Drosophila melanogaster: one gene and its partner. The gene in region 1 interacts genetically with each later gene. Each region holds a gene or a part of one and is shown on either strand. Other genes may lie near its edges. The genes, in order: Sec6 and Exo84.

Region 1 (3,922 bases):
GCCTCGTTGATGACCATCTCGAAGTTATTGGGTCGCAGGTGATTATAGTCCTGGAAGTAATCGTCCAGCGTTACACAAATGGTGTCCACGGCAATGTTACTGGCCAGCCACTTGGCAGTGAATAGGTCGTTAAAGTGACACTCCATGTCCAGGAAGGCTTCCTCCAGCAAGTAACTTGCGGCATGAGCCCGGATCCGCTGGAATGTGGCAAGCAAACGTTCGAAATCCTCATAATGCTCAGTACGTGACTTGGGCCAGTAGAGTTGTTTCATCTGCTGCGCCAGTTCAACCATTTGCTGACTGTTATTCACGATGGTGATGATGTAGTGAGTGAAGTATTTGATCTGGTCCCGATTGCGAAAATGGTGTTCCTTCAGCTCGATTACGTTCTTAAGATATGTCTGGCCAAAGATCTCCACCTGCTGAATGCTCATTACCAACGCCTTGAACGTCAGTTCCTGATGAATTGTGTTGGTCACCTGCAGATGCTGGTCGATCATCTGGAATATGATGACAGGCGCTGAAGTGTGGTAGTACTCCTCATCCTGATCGGGCACCGTCTCAGTAAACCACTCCTGCTTCTCCGTTTCTGCGGCCTTGGTCATCCATTCCTGGAAGTTTCTCTGCATATTTTGCAGATATTCATCTTCCAGCGCTTTGAGATGTTCCGGACGCAGCAGAGTACCTATCTGTCGGTGTACATCCACATTAAGATCCGGATGGGACATCAGCTCGACGCCAGGATAGGTGTGTGTAACCCAAGCCATCATTGATACATATTCATTGCCCTCCAAGCCCGAGCGCACAATGTTGTCAAGCTGGAATTAGTAAATATTAGTGGTATAAAAACATTAATCAATTTAAATGATTGACGATTACTCACATAGCTAGAAAGTCCTTCGTGATAGAACTTGACATATTCGCCGAAAATGTCGTAGTGCGGCGGGAAGCAGGGCACACAAAGGGACTTCACAACGCGCAGATCCTCGAGAATGATTTGACGCAATATCTCCAGGTCTCGTACTAACCACATCTTGTTATCGGCCCGCTCCTCTAGCTTGGATCCCTCTATGCGCGTTATCACCGACTGTTGTAGCACGTCCATGATCATGCGGCGCCAAGCCTTTGGTCTTCCAGGCGGCAGGAATCCTGTGACCTTTTGCTGCTGCAACGCGAACTGGTCGTTTTTCTCTTCCCGCTCTATGATGCGTAGGGCGGTAACGATGATGGTGGGCTTCTTGCGCAGAGTGTTCAGCGTGCGGCTAAGAATGAGTCGCAGCTTTTTCTCCAGCTCTTGGGATACCGTGTCAACCTTCTCGAAGTGACGCTTTAGGGTGATCTTGTCGGACGCATGCTGCTTGGGCTGCTTGTGCAGTTCGTAGAGAAGATCATCCCGCGAATTCTCCAGATCCGCCAGGCACTGATGGGCATTAAGCAGCTTATCATCCTCGATCAGCGCCATCGTCTTTTGTACGCTGGCATCTACGTTGAAGATGTGCTTCAGATTCTCCATGGCGGTGGCGTACTGGGAGTGCTTTGTGTTTTCCTCCCGCACAACTTCCAAAGCGTCGTAGACTTCGGGAACGCCCCTCAGCAGGCGCTCCACCTCGTCCATTCGACGCCTTACCTCGCGCACGTCCTGCATGCAGGTCTCCAACTGCTTAAGTCCCACCCTGACCCCGTCCAGCTGTCCTTGCATTCCGGTCTTAAGGAGCGCCTCAACGGATGCCTTCTTCCGGGCGATTCGGTGGCGATATTGTTCCACCTTCTCCAGTTGACCTGGTCGCTGCAACATGTTCTGTATGTCCTTGAGCGCTGCCTGGCGAGCCTGCTCCTCCAGCTGCTGTAAATCCATCTTCAATTTATTTGGATCACTTTCAGTCTCTGTTTTGGTCAATCTTCGTCAGCAGTGGAAGTGCTGGTGTGACCATATAGCAGTGCGGCTGACAATCTCACTTCCAAGAACTACAGTGTAACTTGACAATAAGCTATATTCTACTCTTAAAATTATTATAGTTTTATTGTGTCTTAAAATTTTTATTTTATTCTTCAAGCTTAAAAAATTATGAAGTTAAAGTATATCTTTTAGTTTGCCAAAGCAACAGAGGATTCGACCTAAGTATGGAAAACTGTACTTATCGATAAGTTATCTTCTCATTGGTCTATCGCCATCGAGAGCTTTGTTTGTTTATAATTTGCAGCCAAACGTTTGAACGTAAACAACGCCCTAAGCAAAACATGAGCACGGAAAAAGAGATAATTTTGCAATTTGCTCCGTGGGAATCTTTTGTGTCGCCCACTTTCTGGCACAAGCTAGCGGAGCTTAAGCTCGACCACGATCGCCTGTCCGACTCGAAACGCTCCATTACTGGACACTACACAAATCGTAATGCAAGTGGATGCCTTTTGGAAGTAGACTACACGGCCTACAACAGGTGAGCTTGAAAACTACGAGTTTGATGAAACCAGCGCTTGACCACCCACATTCCAGAATGGCAAAGCCTCCAAAATTCAGCCATTCCGCTATAGGCACCATCTACAATAAGAACACAATCGAAGAGTTCAAGGCCCTGGACAAATTACAACTGCTGGCCGATGAGGGCAAGGAACTGCTGGCTGATATGTGCAGTGGTGGCGCCTTGAGAGATCCCAGTCTATTGACCCGGTTCTTTGTTCTCTCCTTTGCCGATTTAAAGTGTCACAGCTACTACTATTGGTTCGCCTTTCCGTGCCCGCTGACGCCCACCTTAAAGCTTCAGGGAGCCGTCCAAAAACTGCGGGACTTGCCCAATAGTAGTAGCTATATAATGGCTCTAAAGGCCTTACCCACTGAGTCACAGAACTTCTTCATTCTGTATGCTAATGTGGAGAAGAACATTTTCGAAGCCCGTAGTTTAAGTTCCCTTGACGATAAAAATGTTGAGTTCTGTTATTTTGGTTTTGCTGATCCCAGCGAGTATGAGCATCCAGCTTGGATAATGCGAAACTATGCTGCCTTTCTGCTTCAGCAATGGTAGGTAGGAATAGCAATGTTATGATATCAGTTCACACAGTTGTCGGTCTATTACAGTCCCTCTTTTGTTGGAAAACCATTGAAGTTTCTTGGCCTGCGACACAATCAACAAATGAACATCGATGACAGCCTTGTATGGAAGGTGATTCAGACTGAAGCTTGCGATCTTAGCCAAAGCGAAAATATAAAGTTCGTGGGCTGGGAGCTAAATAAAAATGGCAAAATGGGGCCAAGAATGGTGTGCATGAGGGACAGCATGGATCCAGCCAAGTAAGTTAATAGCTATAGACTTAAATGATAAGAACTATCAGTTCATTGAGGTGTGTCCTTAGTGTTAGCTACCACGACAGTTGAAAGTAACTTGTTTATTATTTATAATTTAACAATATTTCTTTCCGTAGACTCGCTGAGAACTCTGTAAACCTGAACCTGAAACTAATGAAGTGGCGCCTTGTTCCCGATCTCAATCTCGAAATCATCTCCCAAACAAAATGCCTGCTCTTTGGAGCTGGTACTTTAGGATGCGCTGTAGCTAGAAATCTGCTGGTGTGCTTTTATACGAAATGATTTAACTGATCTGATAACTAATAGTTTATTTATTTTGTAGTCCTGGGGATTTAAGCACATAACCCTTTTGGACAGCGGCAAGGTTGGGTTCTCTAATCCAGTGCGTCAGAATCTCTACACGCATGCAGATGCTGTGGCAGGCAATCGGATGAAGGCGACTACAGCTGCTCAGAGATTGAAAGAGATCAATCCGTCTGCGGAAACGGCGGGTTATGTGCTGGAGATTCCCATGCCTGGGCATACTATTGGAGAATCGCTTCTAGCCCAGACGAAGGAGCATTTGAAGGTTATCGAAAAGCTTGTGCAGGACCATGATGTCATCTTTCTGCTCACAGATTCGCG
Region 2 (3,922 bases), on another chromosome or scaffold:
ATTATATTATAAATAATTGAAGCAAAACGAAAAAATAAAAAATTATATGTAATCGAAAGTAAATCCCACGGCGTGCATCTAAAACACATCTGTGGTGTAGACGCTGCGCTGGCGCGGCACTGGAGCACCTTGCTGGCGGGACATTTTCGTGTGCAACTCGCGCAATCCCTCGCACTGGCGTCCAGAAATCTGTCGAAACTTGTCGATGGCGATGGGCAGCAGGTTGTCCACCAGAAAAATCTTGTTCTTCATTACAAAGTTGGGCTGAAAATGGCATTCTTGAAGAGAGCGGTTTTATTTAAGCTGCTTTCTAACTTACATCCACGGCCATGTCGCTGGGCGGTTTCAACGAATGCTGGGCAATGAACAGCTCCTTAAGAAGCAGTTCCAGGCTCTGCAGCAGGGTTTCGCACTTGGCCAGACAGCCGCAGTACTCGGTGAGCTGCAGGAAGTGTCTGATGAAAACCACTGTCGACTGGGTGAGATTAATCCATGTGTCGCCCGTCGCCTGGGCTCGCACATCGATACCCAAGACATCGAGCTCCAGGAGCAGACGCTTCAGGTTCGACTTGGTCTGCAAATTGTACGGCTGCCAGCTCTCCTCGGTGCGACCCACGGAGTCCAGCAGTCGCTCCTTGGATTCCTCTATGAGCGACTCGAGTGTAGTGCGCAACAGACCTTCCAAATGATAACTAATGTCCAGCCCGATCTCTGTGAGCTTTGTCGAGGGCTTGCGCACTCGCTCCACACATTTGGCCACTGACTCCAGGGAGGTTCCCTTGGTCAGGTAATGCTTTATCAGTTGGCTGGCAAAATATTGCAGCTCCGCATTGCACCAAACCACGAGCGCTGCAAGAATTAGATAGTAGTAATACTTAAATGTAGACAGAAATAGGAATGAAGCTTACCGCTAACGCACGCCGGTTGCTTCTCAAAGGCGGTGAGAAAATCACAGGCCACCTGCGTCAGGTCACAAAAGAAGAGTTCCGATATATCCGCATTATTCCTGCGCGCCTCCCGTTGCGCCACCCGCAAACTGACGGCGCAGACCTTCAGCAGAGTGGCACTCGCCTGCCGATAGCGACCCATCTCTACGAGAATCTTCAGAGGCCGCTTGGCTGCTCTCAGAGCGATCTGCAGATTGCGATTGTGACTGTTGGACAACTCCTTGAGCAGCACATTGATCAGCTTCAGCTCCTGCTGCTTCACCTTGGTTTCAATGGCGTCCGCTAGTGGCAACTTCTTTCGGTTCTCGTTTCGCAAGAAGTCCTGGGTTCGCTTTATCAGCTCCTGGGCATCCTCGAAATGCCGTTGGGCCACCAGGGTCTGAATCTCTTCACTGGCCGTGCTTAGCCACTCGGGCGTCTCATCCTCCAGGGATTTGGGCTGTCCGGGACTCTGGGGTGTGGTTTCCTTCTCCGGAGTCGAAGCTTTTGACTGCTGTTTGGCCCGAGTTGGAGGCTGTGGCGCCTGGCCCTTTTTTGGTTTCTTTTGCTGGTCAAAGCGGAAGGCCTCTTCGAGCTTCTCTATCCACTCCGTCTTCCCAGCAGCCGTGATGCTTTGATAGATCTTGGAACCATCTGGAGTAATGATATTAATGGCATTCTTAACGCCATCCAAGTCCTTAATGTTAATCACGGCTATTTTCTTGGGGTCGTACTCGGTGAGGAAATCCAAGCGCCTGAAAAATATTACTATTAGTTTTTGCTATATGCTTTAGTATAGGAAAACCTACTTATCATGCTTCACTTTGCAGACAATCAGTACATCGTTGAAGAGGAAAAAGAAGACCCTTTGAATGGGTCGATAATCATTACTGTCCAACTCGATTAGAGCTCCCTCGTTGAGGAAGGTCTTGCCTTCCAGATTGCCATTGAAGCCCTGGACCATTTCCTTGACCGCCCGCGTGGCATGGCTATTCTCCAGATCCTCCGTCGCCGTAGTGCTCTCCGCCTCCAAACTCTCTGCCTTCAGGTGACTGGAAGTCTTGCCATCCGTCATGGTGGCCAGAATATTGCGCTGCTCAATCAGAATGTGCGACAGTTGATACATTTCCGACTCGAGATCTGCGATGCGAAAATATTAACATAAATGTATATTGATATTGGGGGGCGTAAACTACGTGATATCTCCTTGGCCGTCTGTATAAACTCCATATAGTTCTTTTTGCATGTTTGCTTGAGCGTTGCTGCCGTCGTTTCGTTGTAGGCCTCGATTTCCTTTTTTCGCTGCTGCAAATCGCTGCCACCCACACATTCTCGTGTCAGGTCCTTGGTATCTGGGAACGTTGTACTTATTAGTAGACTGATTAATGCTAAATAGACATAGGAATACTTACATTTCTCAACGCTAAAATTAAAATCGTCGAACTCCTTCATGATTCTGATTGGAATGTAAACTGCAGCTGACGCAGAGCCATTCACAACGAACGAGCGTCATCATGAGGTGTCGATTGTAAGGTTGCTGATGCTATAGAAAATGCCATGTTTTCACTGCAGTTTTCCCTGGTATTAGATAAATCTATAAATCTAGAACATTTTTATTTAGTTTTAAGTAATAGGAGATTAATTAAGATTTAAAACCTATGAAAAGTTTTATTCGAACTGAACGGCTACGTCAAAGACCTTTTAGAGATCAACAAATTTATTCGCATTTACATTTCGGATTTTCATCTTAGGTATGATTAGGCGTTGAAGCCCTGAATACTTTTTATTCGAACTGAACTTTTAAATATAAACGACTACGTCAAAGATCTACGTTAAAAATCAAGAAGACATATGTCTATATGTATACTATTCATTACAATGTGTGTGTGTTGTATTGTAATAAATTAAAATTATTTTCCACCTGTTGCTAATTCACTAAGTTGAAGTGTGAACAGTTCTTTCAGAGTGCACCGGCAAAGCTTCTTCTTCCCACTAGCACTATTCGCATGTAAGCGCCAACACGTCTTGGCCACCTTAGAATCGCGCACACCCTTCGCTTATTGTTTTGGTTGATGAGTAATCTTTAGGAAACTCCGTCATTCTTCGTAATTAAATCTTGCAGTTAAGATATCCTTAAACATGGACTGGCTATTCGGCAAGAAGATCAGCCCCGATGAGATGCTGCGTAAGAATCAGCGGGCGCTCAACAAAGCGATGCGAGATCTGGACCGCGAGCGGATGAAAATGGAGCAGCAGGAGAAGAAGATTATCGCGGATATCAAGAAGATGGCCAAGGAGGGTCAAATGGATGCCGTGAAGATCATGGCCAAGGATCTGGTGCGCACGCGGCGGTATGCCAAGAAGTTCATGCTGATGAAGGCAAACATCCAGGCGGTGTCCCTCAAAATTCAGACGCTCAAGTCGCAGAACACAATGGCACAGGCCATGAAAGGTAAACATTGGCTATTTGGCTGATTCACCCGCTTATCAAGCAATTATGCTTATCTTCCAGGTGTCACGAAGGCCATGCAGAACATGAACCGCCAGCTGAATCTCCCGCAAATCCAGAAGATCCTGCAGGACTTCGAGAAACAGTCGGAAATGATGGACATGAAGGAGGAGATGATCAACGATGCCATCGATGACGCCATGGAGGACGAGGGCGACGAGGAGGAGACGGATGCTGTTGTGTCCCAGGTGCTGGACGAACTGGGTCTGCAATTGGGCGAACAGCTGGGAGACCTTCCTTCCGCCTCCGGTTCCCTTTCCATAGCCGGCGGCGCTGGCGCTCAGAAAGCACAGGCTGTGGCCGCTGGTGGCGTTGGCGGCGGTGGAGCCGCCGGCGGAGGTGGAGCTAGTGGTGGCGGCGCTGGTGGTCCGGGAGCTCCCGGTGGCAGTGGTGCCTCATCGCCCATGTCCGATGCCGATGCGGATCTTCAGGCGCGCCTGGATAAGCTGCGCAAGGATTGAGCCGCTACTAAGAACCACTGCCTGTC

The links.
Region 2: of Sec6 (region 1) and Exo84, changing one enhances a phenotype caused by changing the other (phenotypic enhancement), as found in Drosophila melanogaster (one study listed by BioGRID).

The regions. Positions count from the first base shown.
Region 1 is NT_033778.4:18,623,276-18,627,197, reverse strand, and holds the start of Sec6 (secretory 6), read right to left. Parts: upstream 1,950-3,922; 5' UTR 1,856-1,949; coding exon 884-1,855; intron 819-883; coding exon 1-818. Other genes in the region: Atg7 (Autophagy-related 7), read left to right, coding at 2,239-2,435, 2,492-3,013, 3,071-3,283, 3,415-3,559, 3,621-3,922. UniProt on the Drosophila melanogaster protein: Component of the exocyst complex involved in the docking of exocytic vesicles with fusion sites on the plasma membrane.
Region 2 is NT_033777.3:26,049,852-26,053,773, forward strand, and holds the start of Exo84 (exocyst 84), read right to left. Parts: upstream 2,407-3,922; 5' UTR 2,379-2,406; coding exon 2,339-2,378; intron 2,279-2,338; coding exon 2,120-2,278; intron 2,067-2,119; coding exon 1,736-2,066; intron 1,682-1,735; coding exon 909-1,681; intron 850-908; coding exon 320-849; intron 265-319; coding exon 79-264; 3' UTR 1-78. Other genes in the region: Vps2 (vacuolar protein sorting 2), read left to right, coding at 3,066-3,378, 3,439-3,896.